Oreochromis niloticus: one gene and its partners. The protein of the gene in region 1 purifies or fractionates together with the protein of each later gene. This does not show direct contact. Links are inferred from orthologs where the notes say so. Each region holds a gene or a part of one and is shown in the gene's direction. Other genes may lie near its edges.

Region 1 (7,052 bases):
GTATGAAGGGAAAGCAGTTGTTTCCTGAGGGATTAGTGTGCTTGTGAAGTCCTGCTCTTTAACAATAAAAGCCACAAGTTGGTGCTTGAATTTTATTTCAGCCCCATGCCCCTTTGTTTAAAGCTTGACGCTACCATCAGTTGAACTGATCATTCAGAATGGAGACTGTTTTGTATTTCGTCACTCAACTGGATGTATGTCTCCTAATATGGAATCCACACAGCCAGCAGATGTCATAAGTTTACAACTTCCCTTTCATTATAATGAATTGAACCTCTTGCGACCTCTTAAAGTAAAATTCACTGCTGCGTGCAGTACATGTGTCAAGATAAATATTGTTTTAGGGACATTTTTCAGACAATAGGTTTCGCTGTTACATGAGTGTTTGACCTGAAAATGAACAAATGAGCAAGTAAAACTTTACAGTTTCCCAGATGCTAGTTAAACATCCAGTATAAAATTAGATATGCGAGCTTTATTACAAAATTGTGCAAACTCCTTGCCTCAAACTCCTTGTCTCTTGTTAAGCGCTTAACATGAGTTAATTATATTAACTTTGTTTATTTTGTGGTTGCAGTACTTAAGAACACTTCTCATTATCACTGCAGACATCTCAGTCATGGTGGCCTTTTGCTCAAACTGTTGTTGAAAACACAGACACTGGAAAGCATGTTACACATGCATGACTCGTGATAATGACATGAGTCTTACAGATACAGATAAATAAGTAAACTTTCAAACTTCTGCGGTAAAAATGAATTTAAATAATCTAATTTAAATTAGTTTAATCTGCTTTATTTCTATAGCCTAAACATATCACAAAACAGGCGTAACAATGAGAAATGTCAGTTACAGTTAGAAAAGGTCACTGTTTGCACTTACAGTAAGTAATTAGCCCATTCCACTACACAGTCTGTTTTTGTCCCGTTGTTTTGCTGTTAAGATATCTTCAATCAATATTTCTGTCTTTATAAAGTCTTTATTTCATGATAGTAAGGAATAAACTCCCAGACCATTCCGGTCAACACAAAACACTAGCATGAGATTTCCTGGCTCAACTTGTTTCTCCAGCTCTGAGATGTCTGAATCTTTAAGCGTTTGTCTGTTATATGTAGTCATTATTCAGACAAGTCCTGCAAGTGTTACCTGCTCAAGACCTGACTGACGTACATCATCATATGTAAATGTTCAACAAAAGCTTTCTAAATACTCTTTGTTTTAAACTCTTTTTATCATACATGAGCCACAACTTACTGTGCTAGTTTCAATTGATGTGGCTTAATATTCTCCCAGGACACGTATATGTTTGGCTTAATAAAAAAGTAAACAAAAAAACTAAGTTCACCGCATGATACAAAAACTTCTATAACTTTAACTTGAAGTAACTGTTTTCTGTATGACTTTATCAGTCTCTCACATCATTGTGGGGGAATTTTTATTGCACTCTTCTTTACAGTGTTTCTTCATTCATTCATACACAGCTCTCTTAAAGTCTTTCCACTTGGACTGGGCCACTGCAGCACCTTAATTCTTATATTTTTCAGCCATTGTGTTTTAGACCTGCTGCTGTGCTCGGGAATATTCTCCTGTCTAACCCAGTTTTAGCCAAGCTTTATCGGTCACATTTGGTGCTAGAACACTTTGGTACACAGAGAAGTTCATGGCTGACTCAATCCTGCAAACCTAGTCCAAACCATCACGCCTCCGCCACCGTGCTCGACAGTTGTTCTTTATGCTCATGTTGTGTTCGGTTTTCCAAGAACTGTGTATTATGGCCAAACATCAAACAAACAACAACAAAGCCGCAGTTTCTCTGAGAATTGCACAGTCTGAGCTTGGGGTGAATTTGCTAGAACATCCACCGCTGGGAAGATTGGCAACTGCCTTGAATGATGGATTTCAAGTTATTCATGAATGGCCTTATAATCTTTTCAGACTGCTGGTCCATACTAGTTATTTCTCTGAGATCGTTGCTGCTGTCTTTCCTCCTTGGTAACGTGTTAACATATATGATATTGTGACTCTTTTCCATTTAAATAATTGAAAAACTGTAAAATGCATACATCGCTTCCACCGTTGTTATAATATAATAATAAAAATAACTAATTTTCCTTTAATGAAATGATGCATGCATGACAATATTTTAAATAAAAAATAATAATGTCATTTTTTAATGCCTTATTGCAATTACATGGTTATGAACACTCTCTCCAGCCCCCAGTTTGAGAATAAGAGAAAAAACAACATTAATAACATTGCTATAGTGAATTTGTCTGGCCACAATAATCAGGCAGTGAAGTGAAAAAAATATTAAGTTTCACCATTCATTGTGAATCTTTAACAGGAACAGAGAGAAAAAATCGAATGCAGTCAACCACAGTAGTTCTCAAACTGAGTTCCACTGTACATAGAGCTGCTGCTGGTGGAGTGTGGACAACCATTGTTAAATCCTTAATTAACTGTGATCAACCACATTTTGGTTTTGGAAAGCTGAGTTCAGTTTCACCAGCCACACCCAGGCCTGATTACTGCCAGTGAATCAGCCTGTTTCACTTAAACAGAACTTCTTTGACAAAGAGAAGCAGACTGAAAGATCTCAACACATCATGCCGCAATCTAAAGAAACAGCTGAGAAACAAAGAAGTCATTGGCGTCTATCGGTCTGGGAAGGGTTACAAAGCCATTTCTAAGGCTCTAGGACTCCAGTGAACCATCATCCACAAATGTAGAAAATGTGAAACAGTGATGAACATTTCCACGAGTGGCTGGCCTACCAAAATTACTCTAAGAGCACATCAACGATTCATCCAAGAAATCACAAAAACTCAGAACAACATCTAACAAACTTCAGGCCTCACTTGCTTCAGTTAAGGTTGGAGTGCATAATTCAACAGTAAGGAAGAGACTGGGCAAAAATGGCATCCACAGGAGAGTTCCAAGAAAACCACTGCTAACCAAAAAGAACACAAAAGCTCATCTCACATTTGCCAAAAAACATCCTAATGATCCCCAAGACGTCTGGGAAAAAATATTTAGTTTACTGACAAGACAAAAGCTGAACTTTTTGGAAGGTTTGATTTCTATTTCATCTGGTATAAAACTAGCAGAGGCTTTCATAAAAAAGACACTCATACGAAGAGTTAAACATGGTGGTAGTATTGTGATGGGCTGGGGCTGTTATGCTCCTTCAGGCCCTGGACGACTTGCCCTAATTGATAGAACCATGAATTCTGCTCTCTTGCAGAAAATCCATGAGGAGAATGTCCAGCAATCAGGTTGTGCCATGAAGCTCAAGGGCACTTAGGTTACGCAGCTGGACAATGATTTGAAATATACAAAATAACAAAATTAGGTTTTTAGAGTGACAGGTTGAAAGTTCAAGACTAAATTTGATTGAAATTTGCATGTCCTTAAAAAGTTGCTCATGCTTGAAAAAAGTCCATTGAATTAAAACAATATTAATTTTATTTTTTTTATCTGAAAGATGTGAATGCATGCAAAGAAAAGAAAAAAGAAAAAAAAACTGGAAGGAGGCAAACAGATTTAATTAATAATTAATAAAGATTAATAAAGTTTTTAAGTTTCTACCTATTAACTTACCAATTTTGTGAATTAAGAAATTTTAGCAACTCCCAAAAACTTTTGCAGTGTATGCTTTATTAAACAGTTTCATCATTTCATCATTACTGTGTCTAATAATGACTATTTTTAACAAAGATAAATATTAAAGAAATAAAACGTTTACACGTTATTAACCTTTTGTTATTGTTATGCCCGTGTGTTGGCTGATATAGAATCTCTTTGTGGTTATATTGCTATACGAAGCTGTATCTTTAGACAGTTACTTTAACCGTCTACAGATACAGCTAAATATTGAATGTCTTCTGGTTGATAGCAACAGGCCAAACGCGGTGGAAAAAGACAGACAGGGACACCACGGAGTTATGTGTGTCCTGTAACTCGGGCCAGTTAGATCTTATTCGTCATTGGTACATCCGGGTACCTTTTTTTTTTTTTGATTGACAGTTGCCATGGCAACAAGCTAGAGCATCGCCATTTTGTCAGGAGGGTTTTTTTCCCCAGCTCAGTCTTTTCAAATGTTCTCCCTTCCCGCCGGAATAATGCTGTCAGTGGATATATGTCTGACGTTTTTGGATATCGAAATGCGTCTAGTGGATCGGATTAAGAAGATCAAGAGGCCGACGTTTTAACACAGTTGAAATAATTAGGCGGCGCCGCACTAACTCAGTTGTCCGTGTCTCTGGTCCACCGGGCCGGTTCACTGCGCAGGTTTGGACCGCGCGCCATTTTGTGAAAATTGACACAAAATTCCTAACCAAAATTACCAGAGGACACGGATTCCGTTTCACGTTTAAAATACTCCGGATTTAACCGTGTTCTCGTGTTTGTCGAAGTGGCCGGCGCCAAATTTGCGAAGACGGCGTAAAAATCTGAATTTGGCAGAACATTTATTTAGCGGTGGCTAGATTCGTTAGCTTGAGGCTAGCCACGGAAGCTACAGCTAGCCAATGTTAGCTGCGTTCATTTTGTCAACTAGCTAGCCAGCTCGCTAAGGTTAGCTGGTGAGTTATGCGTGCTAGTTAACGTTAGCATGTTGCTTGTCATCAGCTGATAGTAACGTTAGTCAAGAGTTTCTTCGACAGGCGATGTTTTTCAATAGTGCTTGGGACATGAAGAGCGCAATGAACCTGACTGGCGAATTATTTTAGCCGGTCAGAGGACGGGGGAATTGGATTTAACGTTAACATTACTCGCTAACCGTGCAGGGAGGGGAGAATCTCAAACTGGATAAGTTTCCTCATCATACAGGTTATTGGACTTTAAATGAAGATCGTGCCATCAGAGGTGAGCAAAAGCCTATGCGAAAGCGTTCAGGTTAACGCTTTCGTGGATGTATATGTTGTGTGTAACGTCAATGGTTAACAATGATGGACGCGATCGTGAAGTTGAGAAAGGTAGCTTGTGGTATGGCGGCTAGCTAACGTTTTGTGGCGGCGCCGACTCCGCTGGAGCCACCTATAACGTTTGCTTTCAGTCAGTAGGTCAACTGATTATTAATGTCAGACAGAAACAGCATCCGAACTGGTTTTTGGACTAACCCCAGAGAGAGAGGGGTGCAGCGGATTGTGTGGGTTTGGGCGAAGAGTCATGCTGGCACAGCGTTAACGTTAAAGCTAGCCCTGCGATATTACACAGTGTCATTGTAGGATTGAAGAAAATGTTGCTCTGCTGGCTCATATTTCCGTTGTGAATTACTGTCTAACTATATTACTTGCAGAGGTGTAGTTTTGTTTTTTACAGCAATGGAGTGCGGAAGCTAACCAGGCTAACGCCTCGTAGCTAAATCGGCTAACTCGGCTAATGGTTAACGCTGACTTGTTGACGAACCAGCTGAATGGGCCCCGCAACCCGCTGGCTGCACACACAGCGTCACTAGCTAACGTTAACACTGGATTGGTGAGAGATATGCTTGCTTGTCCCGCAGTTTTCAGGGTAACGTTAACGACGACAGCGTTAGCTAGTTAGACTGCTAACGGTAACGTGAGCCTGAATACGTTTGTCATTTATGCGAGGAATTGGGAGTCACACACACGAACGATATGTAGCAAGACTGGACGCAAATTAACACTGAATATGCTTCCTAAATTCCAACCATGACGAGCGCTACCCCATCATCTGTAAGTACAGAGCTACCCGGGGACGGTCTTTATACATGAGCGTTAGGCTTTTAATTGTTTTGGGTTGGTTTCGTTTGATTCAGCTTTGGAATGGATCTAATCAGTTGGGCGTGAGAAGATGACACGCAGACTTGTTATAGAGGTCTTTAGCCATCACTTATGATATGATACGGCTACTAATAGCAAGCTAGCTGTCGTTATATTTACACCTAAATAGGCCCGTTGATGCCGTAATGACTAGAGCCAGGAAAGGAACTGTTCATATGTCAGTACTGAAAATTAACAAGAATCAGACATTTAGGGGGAGACTAAAGAGCCACAAGTGCGCTTGCAAAATGGCTTTGTGTTAAAATAGAGCTGATATTTTCCCTGTGGGGTTTGTCTTTTTGATTAAAAGACAATTTTACCTCTTAGTTTTGTTAGTATAATGCCTGCCATTGTGTTTGTGAATTTCTCTCAAACCAAACTTTTTCAGTTCTTTGTCAAAACAGTAATGGCAGTAAGGCCAGTTGGATTCACAGTAGCAGATGGCTATTTTAATAAAATATATTGTGTATTTAATTTCACCCCATTTAGATTATATTTTTAAAATCGGTATGAACATGCTGAGAGGAGGTCAAGTGCTCTTCTAGATCCACAACAATGCAAATCCTGTTTTAGTTAATGTCTCTGATAGAACTATTTAGAAGTTTCACAAGAGCTATATGCAAGTATTTCAAATATATAATTTCCTGGGTTTTAACTATCTTTACAACAAAAGCACAAGTAGCTTAAAATTTTCAAATTTGAGGTCTGTTTGTAAACTCCCTCCATTAACACATCTACCCCAAGTGAGCTTCTTAAAGTTTTGGGGTGTCTTCTGCTCTCTAGCAGTTCTCTGTCCCTTCTTATGAAAAGTTTAACCCCTATGAAGTTAAGTCCCACCAAAGATGCACAATGATGATATTCTGTTTTTATTCTTTGTAGTGGGTTGTGGTTTGCTGCTGGACTCTCCTCCCAGGATGATATGAAATTTTACAGGAGAAGATGCATCCAGGTTAGCTGCTATATATTAAGCCTTAACCCTTTGGTGAGGAAGTAGTGCTCTTCTAAGAGCTTCTCTTTCAGTTTTGTTGTTGTTTTAAATTCAGACTCACAAATTTGTAGGACTCTCTTTAGGGGGTAAAAAAGTCAAGTAAAGATGAATAATTAAGAATTATCAGTATAGTATTTACCATTTAATTCATTGCAACTTATTTGATTGCAGAGCTCAAAGTAATTAAAATTAGTTTAGTTTTTGTTTTTTTGTCTGAACTGAACAAGCAGTAAAACAAAGTAGTCATGACAAATTGAAGTGCTTTAAATTTAAAATAT
Region 2 (6,999 bases), on another chromosome or scaffold:
GAGATGTACAGAACGTCACTCCGCTACGGCGACTATGTGTATCCACTGTGGGGTAAAGCCTTAGGTGTGTGCATGGGGGCCACCTGCTGTTTACAGATCCTCATCTGGGCTATTGTCGCCATCAGCAAAGAAACTGGAACACTGAAAGAAGTCAGTATCACCACTCATTAACGTACACTACCGTCACAGTAGCAGTCTCAAGTGGGTGTGTGATTATCTCTGGCTTTCTCTCTCTCTTTGTTTTGACAGCGTTTCCAGAAATCAATCCGACCACTAAATTCCTGGAGGCAAAATAACCTGAACAGCACAGTGAGAGCAGAGGAGCACATAGAGCCTGAGCAAGTGGATCCCCCGTACACGGTCACGCTCACCGACATGGATTTTACTGCGATGACGTGGGACGTGGGAAGCCAGGCATAAGGGAACAGAGCATTTGTGAATACACCATGATGAGCAGACTTCGCTCTAAACAGACAGAGGAATTTACTATTTTGTTATTGGCTGAGGTTCAGCTCTGGAGGCTATGGTCACTCACACTGTGTCCTGTGTCAGGGCAGTATGGATTACCTGCTATATTTATACTACTATGTACATATAAATAGATTTTTCAAATTCTTTTTCATTGCTTAGAATATAAGGTTACTGAGGTTTTAGAGGAAGCTTGGATTATCATCTTATATGTGGGATTTCATGAAAATATGTCGATGAAGATGATTTTGCAATGTATATGCTGAACTTATTTATTATTATAGTAGCACAGTGCAATGAATGTCTACTGACAGTAGCCAGCAGCTACTGTACAAGGAGGAAAAGAACTTTGTGACTGTTACCCTTCATGCCACTAATGGAACCAGAGAAGTGACCACAAATCATCATGCTTTCAGACTAAATGGCGTTGAAACACAGCTGCACTGAAGCAAGATTATTTTAAATTCCATTTTTTAAATGAATGATTGCGAAAATGATTGGTAGAATAAATACATTATTTATACAATATGTTGCCAAATGAACTATTTCTCATGGTACTGTCTGTATTTCAATGCAAGAAGACTCCTGACTCTGACCATTTGCATTTCAAATAACCAGTTCCCATAGTTCCGCAGAAAATGTAGTGTTTGCGTCATGTCTAGTGAAAACTTGTCTTTGCACATCTAAATACAACCGAGTAACAACTAAATACTAAAATAGTGCTGTAGATAGATTTCACATATATCAAAGTTGGTTATCTTTTGGGGAAAAAAAATCAAATGGCATTGTTAAAGTTGATGCTTGTTTTTTCTCTTAATTTCACTGAAACTTGAATTTGACAGTCGTTTACTGTCACTTTAATTTTTAGTTGTGTTTTTTGTTTCATTGGAGTTAAATGTAGTCTGGACAAGCTTATTGTTGGGGTTTTAAATTTGCCCCCATTTGCCACAACTTTCTGTGTGTTCTAAAGTTGATGACAGTAACATCAGAACATACAGGGTAGAAATTACATGAAGACCCTGTAGTGTGCATCTGTTTAAGAGGGCTCACAGAATCAGTCTTCTCAGATTAAGCATTTAAAGCCTGAACCATAATTGCCAAGAAAATTCTTTTAAATGTTTAAATGTTCAATTGCTTATTTAAGCTGCTTATTTCTGAAGTTGAAAACATAAATAAATAAATATAAATTTGCAGGTTTTAGTTTTAATTTGTATCATATTTGCTACATCTGGCTTTTTTTTTTTTTGCAAGCTATTGCTTAAAAATGTATTGTGCAATTTCCCCAGTTCATAAATTTTGCATTTGTAATCCCTTTCTGGATTTCAGAATTACAAAATAAATACCATCAAAAGAGGTTGGTTTTAAAAAAAAAAAATTATTTTCTTGCAGAATCGTTTCATAAACCTTTACATAAACATTTAAGAACATTTTTCGTTTCTGTTCACTTTGTTGATCTCATGTACAATGGTGTCTATATTGAATACATATTCTCATATTGAAATTGTAAAGCACTTTGAGTGTCTAGAAAAGTGCTATATAAATGCAATCCATTACTATTATTATATTAAATGAGAAACGGTTCCTTTTGCTTATTGTATATTTCTTATAGTGTCCAATTAAAAACTACTTGAAGCTATGAGATGAGTATATATATAGCCCATAACAGTTTAACTTAACCTAATGAGAAGCATTAGTGTGATCACAGAGGCCAGTGATGTGGTAGTCTGCCTCTTAACAACACACATTCATTGGCCGCTTTGTTAGGTACAGGTGTTCAACTACTTATTAGTTACCGGTATGTGGCAGCCGCTTGATGTGTTCAGGCATATAATCATGGTCAAGATGATCTGATAAGTTTAAACCACACATCAGAATGGGAAGTAAAGATGATTTAAGAGAACTGAGTGTAGTTGTTGTTGCCAGGCAGACTGGTCTCTGTTCTCCAGAAACTACTGATCTACTGGGATTTTTAGACACAAACATCTCTAGGGTTTACAGAGAACGAAAGCATGGATCCATCCTGTCTTGTTTTAATGGTTCAGCATGTAGTGGTGATGTAATGGTGTAAGGGAAATTTTCTTGGCACACTTTGAGCCCCTTAGTACCAATTAAGCAGCATTCAAGTTGTACCACAGTGTATTGCTGCTGACCTTGACCAACCCTTTATGACTACCTTAGGATAGGTTCTTCCAACAGGATGATGTGTCATATCACAAAACTAAGATAATTTCAAATTAGTTTCTTGAACATGACTGCACGTTCACTGTAGTCAAATGGCCTCCACAGTCACCAGCTCTCAATCCAATAGGGCACCTTTGATGTGGGATGTTGTGGGTGGAAGATTTGCATCGTGGCTCTGTAACAGAAAAATATGCTGCATTTGTGGGATGTTGTCATATAAATATGGTTAAAAATCTCTGAGAAATGTTTCCAGCACCTTGCTGAATCTGTGTCACAAAGTAGTAGTAGTAGTGTGCAGTACTGCAAAATTTGGTATCAATCCAATAACGAGTAAACACAGGGCCAGTATTGCAATAGATAGCAATACCAATACTTTTAACCTATAAAGACAGGCTATAAATAAAGTAGATGTGACTGTCCACACAAAAAGGTTCAGTCATTTTTCACAGTGTATGTTTGACGCATATTTTTTCATTTCCAAAAAATAACTTATATATATATTTTTTTTACACAAGTCAGTGGGTTACATACTGAACTTAACAAAGAAAGTATCAATCCTACTGCGCTAGTATCAATCCAGTACCAATACCAGCAGTGGTATCAATGCTACCAATATTTGGATCGATCAGCCCACCTCTATCACAAAGACTTAAGGCAGTTCTAAAGGCAAAAGGGGATCCAACCCTTTAGTGGCAAAGTGAACCTCATAACATGGCTGGTGAAATGTATTTCCGCATGAAAGTAGGATGCTACTAACAGACAATAGAGGTGATTGAGGGTCCTCTAACTAGGTAATATGTACTCACTGGAAAGGTTTCTTAAAAGCTTGCAGCACAAGTTATTTGTGAATTTTTGCCACGAGAGGGCAACGATTGCACACTTAGAGGTGAAGTTTTACACACTAACAGAGCTGCCAAATAAACATGTACATGTGTGCTATAATTTACACTTATCACCCGCAAGATAAAAACCAGGTGAACGGGATAATAATGGTCATCTAACTGCATTTAATGTCCTCTACCGGGAAGCCTTGACATCGTTTTTTTTTGTTTTTACATGATATTACTTTAACATATATTATTGCAGAGGCACAGCCTCCCCTCCCGAAATAGTGCAGCCTGTAAGTGCCACATAAACTAATTGAGGAACACGACAATGAGTGAATAAACGCTTCCGATATTAAGCAGAAGGTTTAAATGTTGTGGGTTGCAGGTGTATGTAAAGGGGCTATATTACTACTATTTCTGTTCCAGGCGCGTTGGAGGTCGAACAGGATGTTACGTAGACTTTTTTTCCCGCGTTTTCGAGTCCTCGGGTTGGGTTAGTTCGTTTGCGGTTTTTGTCACGTGATCCCGGCGTAACGCTACATCTGTCTGTTTGCAATGACAGACCTCTTGTCTGTGCGTGAGAAGTTATAAATCGGTTCTTTGACAGAAGTTCTGACAACACCGAGTTTAAACGGAGACTGACGATCGCAAAAACACAAATGAACAAAGTCTTGTGGACAGGTTTTTGAGCACTAACCGCCGAGTACTTGTAACACCGCTGCAGCGTCGCCAACGGCGCTTCACCGCGCAGTACGTTGATACAAAACGAGCATCCACAGATCTACAGTTGCAGGAAGTCACTGAGGTTTTGTTGTCACGGAACTCTTGAAGTGGGATTTACACTTAGTAAACAATATCAGTCGGCTTTAAAACATATTTGAGTTTTATCTATTAATTATTGGCCGTTACGTAACCGGATACCAAGATGCCACCTAAAAAACGCAATTCTGGGACGTCACAGAGCAAAGAGATGAAACCCACTGCTGAAAATGCCTCTCCAGACAAGAAGGAAAGTCCAGAGTTGTCTCTTAAGAAGTAAGAGAAGTAATGATCACCTCGCCGTCAAGTCGCAGTAGCTTCAGTTTGTGGCTTTGTAAAATAAAAAAATAAAAAAATGTTGACATTGTAGACAGATATTTTGGTCTTTCCCCCAGCTACGTTTGTCTTGCTCGCTAGCTTGTGCGACTAAACGTCAGGCTGATCTGTTAGCTGTGTCCACCGGCCTAATAACAGCGAGTTTAAAAGTATGTTTAGCCCCATACAACTGGTCAAAGAGTAACTATTCAGTAATGAATGAAATTTGAAATGTAGTCTGGGTATAGCTCTCAAACGCTGTGTTTGAGAGCTATACCCTACTATACCCTGTACCCTGCTCAGACTCTGACTGGCAGTCAGAGTACCTCATAAGACTAGACCGTTGTCTTGAGTGCAGTTGTTTTGATTTCCTGAAACCGTATTCGTGTTTTCCGTGGTTGCTAACCTCTGGTCTCCATCTTTTAGGTACGGAGACAAGGATGCTGAGTTTGTGACTCTGTGCAAGAGCCTTCATGTGACTGACCCTGTATGTGATCGAGCCTGGACGCTGTGGAAAACCGTTCAGGAGTCCGTGGATGAAGCTGCTGTACGTATTTGCACATACTGTAGTTCAGTAGTTCCACTCTACATTTATAATACTGCAGTCCTGTCGCCTGTCCTGGAAAAAGCATGAGTGGAAATCGATCATTTAAATTCCTTATCTTATACAGCAACAAATTAGAACAGTGTTTGACCCAAAGCAATACATATTGCAGGATGGAATGGTGGTGCAGTGGTTATCACTGTCACCTCACAGCAAAACAAATCCAGGCTGTATGTCCTCCTGTTTCTGGTTGGGTTCTCACTGGGGTCAGAACTGAGACACAGTCAGTTTGGTGATTCTAAACTGATTGTCTTTATGCGTTAGCCCTATGGCCTGTCAAGGGTGTTTAACTATAGCATAACCCCGCACAGTTCAGCATTATTTTATTCATTAATAACGGTTTAGTCCATATGACCCTTCTCAAGTATAGAGAAACCAGGGTGTATCCAATCTCTCCTGCAAATCAGAGCTTCTACAACAGGGGTGGGCAATTCCAGGCCCCGAGGGCCGGTGTCCCTGCAGGTTTTAGATCTCACCTTGGGTCAACACACCTGAATCACATGATTAGTTCGTTACCAGGCCTCTGGAGAACATCAGGACGTGTTGAGGAGCTAATTTAGCCATTTAAATCAGCTGTGTTGGTTCAAGGACACATGTAAAACCTGCAGGGACACCGGCCCTCGGTGCCCACCCCTGTTCTACAACACAGGTGTCGAACTCCAGGCCTCGAGGGCTGTTGTCCTGCAGGTTTTAGATGTGTCCTTGATCCAACACAGCTGATTTAAATGGCTAAATTACCTCCTTGACATGTCTTGAAGTTCTCCAGAGGCCTGGTAATGAACTTATCATTTGATTCAGGTGTGTTGACCCAGGGTGATATCTAAAACCTGCAGGACACTGGCCCTTGAGGCCTGGAGTTCGACACCTGTGTTCTACAACATTGTTGAAAGAGATCCAAAAAGAAGACAAGAAAAGGAAAGTCCACAAACATGGCAAATCACAAGCTGTGGGAAGAAGACAACACAAAGTTAGTGATAGGCATGTAAATGCATGGGGAGTGAAAGAAAGTACAATTTGTACTGTTTTGGCCATAAACCCTTTAAAAACCCTTTATGTAAGCTTTCTTTTTGCAGTACTGAGTCCAATTTTAAATCAAAGCTTACACACAATATCCACTGTGTCTTATTGGTGAAATGGGATATTAGGAGGCTAAGTATTTTTGCCTTTTAACCAGTAGCCAGGAACAGTCCAAAAAATAATAATTTAAAAAGTACCGAAAGAAATAAAGTGGAATAGCTTTATAATCCCCTTAAAAACAGTTGCTCTTCCATTCCTAACAAAAAGTGAAAAGATGTGACACGAGCATCTTCTAACATTGTTCTTTGTCATTTGGTTTCAGGACAGTCAGAAGAAGCTTTGGGGTGCTTGTCTGTTTGTGACTGTGACAGACATGGATGCCACCTGTTTCACCTTGACCCAGGTTCTGAAAGCAGTCTGTCTGAAGTAAGCGCTTGCTATGTTTTCTTGACAAAACATAACCTCACAGTCCCACTGTTGGCATGGGATATTGGTGAATGTGAAATTTTTTTGGGTAGCTGATGACTTGAGCCTTGCTTGAGTATTAGCTGCTGGGATTTTCATTCTTTGGAAATAGGAAACTTTTTTTTTCAGGGTAGCAGATGTTTTTTACTCAGCAAAAGCAGAACTTTATTTGGGATTGCTATTTGAAATAAAGTAGAAGAACTACAGGCTGTGTAAGAACATTAAACATGTATCCTCCTGCTACTTACTCCAGCTGTAGATAGATCTTTGTGTGTTCACCCTTTGATGGATGGAAAAGGAGTCCAGGTATAGGCTCCAGGTCCATTGTTCATCTCTCAGTTGGATAGTTTGTGAAACAGATTG
Region 3 (7,186 bases), on another chromosome or scaffold:
CTGACCTTACTTAAGGGAAAATGATTTTAGATTTTATATAAGTGCCAATGCAGCATGACAGGCGGAGCTGGAAACTTTGGGAAGAATGAGGGAATCACATGAAGCAGTGTTAATTTATGTATTGTGCTTTGACATCAGGGCTTAATACAGTATTCATTTGTGCCAGAGTCTCACTTTCAAGGGACATGCAGGCTGCAGAGATTTTAGTTCGTGTAGCAGCTCAATGCACATTTTAAGCAAAGGTCTTGCACAGTGTTTTTCTTTTTTTCGACCACTTGTATTCAGTAGTTATTACCAATAAATAGCTTTTAAGAAACTTTAAACAGAGCTGAGAGAATCAAAACCACAAAATCTAATCAGACAAGGGACTATAGATCTGGAAGAAAGGTGGTTTTAAAAAGTGAGACCATCACAAATGCAGGAAGGCACTTTAAATATACTGGGATCTGTCTTTCAGGCATTAAACGCTCACCTCTCACACATGTCCAATTTTACAGGTAGTGTAAAATTGTCTCGATGCGAGCTAGCTGATATTTCAGCTTTTTCTTTGATCAGAACCACTCCTTTATATGGCGGGCTGCTTGGAAGACCAAATATCTCTCTGGTGATATTTTGTATTTTTGTTTTGACCAAATGAAAAGAATGAAGAGGAAGCCAGCAGCGTGTTGGCCTGTCTTTGAATACAGCCACTATCCCATTTGCTCCTACTGGAATCCTGATAAATAGCCAAAATACGAGAATCACTCTTTCAAACTACCATAAATTCAGCACTCCCATTTACCGCACTCACATCCACACCAACAACACAGATTTCACTCATTATTAATTATAAGAGAGTCCTAATAATGCTGGCAGGTAGTATGATACTTGCAAGTATTGCCAGTGCTTTAATTTTGTTTTCATTGGAGTCAGTAAGACAAATACAGAATATCACCATGTCCTCCGATGAGGTGAGCGCTTGATGCTCGAAGGATTTCAGGTGAAGTATAACTTTAAATGGGACTGTGAGGGACAATCACTGCGTAGTTCTTGGTCAGTGATGGGGTGGTCCACAGGCTGTTGGCGTCGGTGTCAATTTAGGGATGTGTGACAGTTTCCACAGTACTGTGTGTAAAACCTCAGACTTAAATCTTGTGACTTTTTTTTCGTTGCCTTCATTGCTAAAAGAAAAAAAAATTAAACAATGGTCAGTCCATCCGTGCAGATTACCCAACAGATCATTGTCATCTGCCTTTATCTTTGTGATTTGCTGTTGAAAGATTGGGACTTATTACCTTGATCCTGTCAGTGTTTTCACCAATCGGGGCCTCTACTGATTCAATAAAATTGTGCCACTTTAATTGAGTGATTATAGGTGCAGTGCAGCCTAATCTAGCTGATTGTTTGTGGTGCCTGAAAGTATGACTGTATTTTTTTTTTTCAGTTTTTGGTTTCCAGAAAGTTTTTTTCTTTCTTTTTTTTTTTTTTTTACCAAGCTGTCATTATGCTGAGGATAGATTGTGATTGTATATTTGAGAAAATTAATGGTCATTGTGTGCAGGTTTAGTTTCTTTTTTGATAAATTCCAGATATTTTTTTGTGCTGCTTTCCAGTTCTTTCCTCCTGACACAAACCAGCCATCTGGAAAAGTGTGGTGGCGCTCCCATTAAATCGCTTGCTCGTTTCCCGTTTCTCTTTCCTCACTTCGTGCTTTGTCTTTTCTCCTGAAAGCACGTGCTTCTCTCTTATATTTCCTAAGTGTGTGAGAGATATAAAGTTTTATGTCAACTCAATCATATAAAAAAGACAGAAATGGAGACAGTTTGCTATTGCCTTATCCATAGATTACTCATTTTCAGCTTTCACCACCACATGTTTTAAAAATGAGTCAGCATTTGGGTTAGATGGCCTTTCTCTGTTCAGAAATATGTCCACATGCAAAAATGCCAGAATGACAAGAAGGATGAGTTATGTAGCTGTCGGGACCTGTAGCAAAACATGTTTATTTACCTCTTTCACTAAGCTCTCTGGACATACACAGCCTGTGCCTTTTGAATGTGGACTATGTTTAATCATAGCATCAATTATCATAACCGTTGTAGCATTAATACCCTGAAAATCCAAAGAGGTTTCTCCAGAAGCCGTCACTGCAGACGCTGAAATAGTTAAGAGTCCTGCTTTTGTTGCCCAGAATCATTATTTTTTGAAAGATTTACACTACTTGTGCATTTTCTCCACTTGCTCTTGTTTGCCAGATCTAATGAAGCATAGCACACAATGTAACACAAACAAAGGAGACTATCGAGTATCAGCTGTGAAGGAAAGTTCACCGTCTTGTTGCCTTGCGTTGTTAGATGATCTATGGGATTTTCAGGCCATGTGCCTGCAGCCCTACCATGCACAGCAGTGACACTAACTAGCCATAGATCTGAGGTGGCGTAGGAAGAACTCCACAGGTTCATGGGTACACAACCTCTCCGGTAGCACTAATCTGTACACACACATATGAATAAAATATTACACGCTGCTGACTTATGTGACCTGGGGTGCAGTAGGGGGAGATGTGTGTGAGTGAGACTTGTTTGCATGTGAGTAGTTTCCTTCTTTGCTAGTCCTCTCCTTATTTTTAGTTTGATTCTGTACTATACTGTCATCCTATTTCATTTCAATGTCATTCTACATATATGTTAATTATTATGCATAGATTTCCAGTATTCAGGAAATTCAAATCACTAAGCTTTGCTCATTTAAGGTTACCTGAATACTGTCCTTATTTGACAGTGTATTTATAAATGATTTGTTTCAGTTTTGGCAGAAGATAGTTCTCCAGTTTAAAAAAGGATAAGTTCATGGCATTCAGTCATCTCTTTTTTTTCCTTTCTTTTCTTTTTGCAGAAGTGTGATTCTGCTTTATGACAGAGAAATAAGGGAAATACATAAAGGCATAGAGTGTCAGCACTTAAGCATCACATTGTCACTCATTTTAAATTATGTCAGCTGCACGTCTTTTCATTATAATTTGCAAGTAAATTCTACCCGTATGTGTTTTAAGTTACACTGGGACAGATTTTAAACAGTGTTGTTTGATTTGAAATGTATTTGTTTAATGTTCATGAATGAGATGTATAATGTACGTTTTGTGCACATTACCCATGTATCATTTATCAACACGTGATAGTAATCTGTACACATTTGCACAAAGCACTCAGTGTTTGTACATATGCAGTTATTTTGTCACATATGATTTTTTTATACATGTGCATGTGTCAGATTCTGTCCAAAAACAATGAATAAGAGACACATATTATCAGATTGATTTATTGTGTGTCTGTTTGCTTATGTGTGAGTTATATGACTTTATTCCTCTTTTTTTCAGTATGAGAGAAATAAATCTCCAAGCGGAAAGCTTGGACTGTCTAGCATACTGTGACGTGTAAAGTTACGTAGAGTTGAATTTCTGTGCATATAATGACTGATGACAGACTGTACTGTCATTTAGTTTTGCATTTGTAGAACTAAATAAGAGGTGAGGGAAGCAACTTAGAGATTCTCAAAAAGGCAACTTACAAATTGGACAGGTTTTAGGGAGGATTAGGCCTAACCTAAAAGGTCTCAAAATTGGAGACAGGGTTGTGATCTTTATCAGCAGCCAGCTGATGACTGAAGTTGGGGCACAGTTCATATTGACCAAGTGCATTTTAACTGCAAGAAGGTATGTTTTAATAATTTGTTGCAAACTGATAACAAAATTTAAAAGACAGTAAAATATGATTTAAAAAATGACGAATAAGTGGCTAGAAACTGAAAACTTTTGAGTATTTTTATTGTAGTCAAAAAAACTCCAATATCATGCAGAGATTCATATTTTTCCAGTTATTAAAGCAAATTCAGATCCTTGAAATGTACATTTTATATCTAATTTCTTTTTTCCAGAAAAAATCACGTGAGTTTGTAAAAATAAGGTAAAATATTTAAGTTTGCATTAAAACATCTTATAAATGATATTTCTTTTATATATTAATGTATATATTTTGCCCCAAGTTTACAAAAATAACTTAAAAGATAAGATCAAGTGGGTTGTAAAGTGCATGTGTGAATCACTGGTTGTGCTGTAGCGCCCCCAGCGGTCAGCGGTGATGGTGTTTTCACGTAGGGCGTGAATGCGCGGCCCCTCCCCCTCTACAGCCGATCTGGAAAAGAAAAAAAAACTTTTTTGTACCGAAGGAATCAACAGCCGCCATCTTGTCGTGGCTCGGAATTAGGATTTCGGTCCAACACTGGGTTTTACGTAGAAATCGAGCATCCTTCCCGTGGTATGACAGCGGCCTTCTGCCGAAAACGAAATCGTAATATCGCTTCGGAGACATTTTGTGCGAAAAAACGGGAATTGGATTGGTGGTCGTCGGGCAGAAAAGCTCCGTATATCTGATTTCCCCTTCAGAGTGCGGTGATTCAGCCCCTGTCGCCGTTCGGGAGCAGTATTGTTTACCGTGGGCAAGCGGAGAGCAGATCGTGACTTTCGAAGAGATTTGCAAAAATACGGCATTTTTATGCAATTGTGCATTTTTGTGGAGCTTCGCGCGATTTTTGCATGAAGAAATTTGACGTCACGCAAAATGGGTACTTTGAACATCTAGAAATTACGACTTTTCTCCCGGAATGCAGCAATCCACCTGATTTAACTGGATCGTCAGTGTGAGGCTCGATTTTTACATGGGGAATATTTTATTTTGGGGTATTTAACGATAATAATGTGGGTGTTGGGTGTTGGATTATCATGGGGTGAATGGCGGTGGCGAAGCGGGGCGCTATTGCATCTCTTTTAAAAGACACCGACTCTCACGGCGAGGAGTAGCTAAACGCTAACAGTTACTTTAGCTGGTAGCAGGCAATTAGCTAGCTATTAGCCAGTTAGCCAACGTTAGCAGGCTGCCAGCTTGCTAACGTGCTAACCGGGAAGGTTTTTGGTGATTGAACAACTTTCTACGTATAAGCTAATCAGAATCATCAACTTAAGCGACCGGCCAGGCAAGATTTCAACTATGGCTGAAAACCTGCTGGACGCCGGACCTCCACTCTCTAAGCGGCCGAAGCTGAATTCACCTGCCCTGTCAACGTCTGATGGACAAGGTAAAGGCCTCGATACTGTCGGCACACACAAACCCAAATGTAATGAACATTTGCACTTAAACTTCTCTTTTACTAATGGGCATTAAATCAGCCGATCCCATTGATGCAACGTTACACGTTATCCAGTCGGTTGGGTAGCAGTTACTGTGGTTTTACCGCAGTGTTGTGGTTTCATTCTGAGGTGAGCATTTACTGCACCTACCCTTAATACGCAAATGCCAGTCTTGGTACAGTCGCCTTGACTTCTGCAGCAAACCTTAACACAATACGATCAGCACAAGAACTCACCTGAGCGTCTAAAGTGGTCACGGCTACAACAACTCTAACTTTAAATTACCTGCAGCAAAAATAAAACTTCTGCTATCTTGAGAGGTGTTGCATTAGCTTTGCATTGCTGTACTGTAACGCTTTGAAAAACCACAAGACTAAAATGGCAATTATTTCTCGAATCAGGTGCAAGGTGGTGTTTTTTGTGGTAGCCTGACATTGCATTAACAGCAGGTACACATGGCATGATAGACCCACAGAGGTAACCTAGGCCCTAATTAGCTTAAATAATATTGTCTTCAAAATCACAAATCACATACCACTTAATGCCAATGTTTGTTCACCTGTTAAGACTAAGTCTGATGAAGTTTGCATCCATTTCCATTTATTTCAGGTACGATTTTAGGTGTGTGTAATCACGTGTCAGAGAAGAAAACGACTATTAACAGATACCATTTTGGTAGCTGTGCCCACTTGGTTCAGCTTGCGGCTATAAAACAACAACAAAAAAACAACCCTCACTCATCCCAATGGCCACTCCATCCATCCCTGAGCAAGCCTACATAGCCACACTCAGTCTGGATGGTGCTAGCTTCCTTTAACTTATTGAATTCTTGCAGAGAGTGCAGATATGGTTATAACGTCACATATCTCAGCAGACGTGGGCACTGCTGAAAAAAAATGTGTAGGAATGCAAGATAGAAATCTGTATGTGGCTCTGAGTATTGGAATTTGAGTGATTAGGAAATGCCTGTCTTGTATCTGTCATTTCTTGTAATTGGAAAGCAAAGATTGGGGATGTGAGTTCCCACCTGGCCCTAAAAAATCATTTTTATTATAAAACAAGACTAGTGCTTATTTTAAATCAACTTTTTGACTTGTTCTTCCAAAGTTGATAGCTGAAATTATAAAGTCATCTGGAGACTTAAAAAAAACCCTTGAGTAACGTGTCTTTTTCTTTCATCTGATTGACTGCGTGTTTTTGTTGAGGTGCTTCATGGGCCCTTAATGAAAACCTGAGTTATTGCAGCACTCTTAACCTGTCTGCAGTACTGTGTGGTAAAGGTGGAGTAGCTGAACTGCATTTCTGCAGCGCTCGCTGTTTCTGTGATGGGAAAATGTTGCTCCTGGTGTGAAGATACAAAAATGAGTTAATTTCATATCTTCAGCATAATCAGAAAGTAATGTATGCTTTACATGCAGAAGCACCCCGAATTACAGTTAAACTAGGGCTCGGCAATTAACCAATTTATAATTTCAATTCCTGATTTTGTGTTTCAGTGAAAACAAAGTGTTGGGGATAAAACAGTGGCCCTTTTAAACTTATTTTGACTGCAAAGGTCTCTCTCTCTTTCTTATTTTTCTCCCTTGTGCTGTACATGAAGCACAAACCTTTCATTTATAGTGCATATTTTTGCTGTTTGGTTCACTTCACGCCACAATGACATTTTAGCTGGAGCCCAACGTTAACAGCATCTCTCTAGAGTAGTTAAAAATCTCAATGTTTCCATTGGTGAACTTGTTGAATGATCATTAGCGGTTACATTTTTCACTGTATCAATCAAGGTCCTTCACCTGATCTGTTTTCTGTGCAACAGTTACACTTCCAAACATCCCCTGGGGATTTTTCACAAGTTTACAGGCTTTACGGTCAAGAATACCCATTAGTCTGGGCCTAACATGTACTACCAGACTCCCATGTGTCCTTCCTGCTCCCTTTGCCCATTGTTTTGGTTTTAATTTTTTTTTTTTTTTTTTTTTTTTTTTAAATTTAAACATATGAAAGGCTTCTGTGAAAATACACTGCATC

What was found.
Region 2: the proteins of dyrk1ab (region 1) and rb1 purify together in Homo sapiens (affinity purification with mass spectrometry; 4 studies listed by BioGRID and IntAct, with this or other methods). This does not show direct contact. The link is inferred for Oreochromis niloticus from reciprocal best matches to the Homo sapiens genes DYRK1A and RB1.
Region 3: the proteins of dyrk1ab (region 1) and crebbpa purify together in Homo sapiens (affinity purification with mass spectrometry; 4 studies listed by BioGRID and IntAct, with this or other methods). This does not show direct contact. The link is inferred for Oreochromis niloticus from reciprocal best matches to the Homo sapiens genes DYRK1A and CREBBP.

Annotation. Positions count from the first base shown.
Region 1 is NC_031979.2:25,834,232-25,841,283, reverse strand, and holds the start of dyrk1ab (dual-specificity tyrosine-(Y)-phosphorylation regulated kinase 1A, b), read left to right. Parts: upstream 1-4,030; 5' UTR 4,031-4,866; intron 4,867-4,922; exon of another isoform or gene 4,923-5,699; intron 5,700-6,665; 5' UTR 6,666-6,705; coding exon 6,706-6,735; intron 6,736-7,052. UniProt on the Homo sapiens protein: Dual-specificity kinase which possesses both serine/threonine and tyrosine kinase activities. Exhibits a substrate preference for proline at position P+1 and arginine at position P-3.
Region 2 is NC_031975.2:11,022,677-11,029,675, forward strand, and holds the start of rb1 (retinoblastoma-associated protein), read left to right. Parts: upstream 1-3,992; 5' UTR 3,993-4,401; coding exon 4,402-4,511; intron 4,512-4,976; coding exon 4,977-5,097; intron 5,098-6,493; coding exon 6,494-6,597; intron 6,598-6,999. Other genes in the region: slc6a7 (sodium-dependent proline transporter), read left to right, coding at 1-150, 250-420. UniProt on the Homo sapiens protein: Tumor suppressor that is a key regulator of the G1/S transition of the cell cycle. The hypophosphorylated form binds transcription regulators of the E2F family, preventing transcription of E2F-responsive genes.
Region 3 is NC_031971.2:30,620,794-30,627,979, reverse strand, and holds the start of crebbpa (CREB-binding protein), read left to right. Parts: upstream 1-4,179; 5' UTR 4,180-5,021; coding exon 5,022-5,109; intron 5,110-7,186. UniProt on the Homo sapiens protein: Acetylates histones, giving a specific tag for transcriptional activation. Mediates acetylation of histone H3 at 'Lys-18' and 'Lys-27' (H3K18ac and H3K27ac, respectively).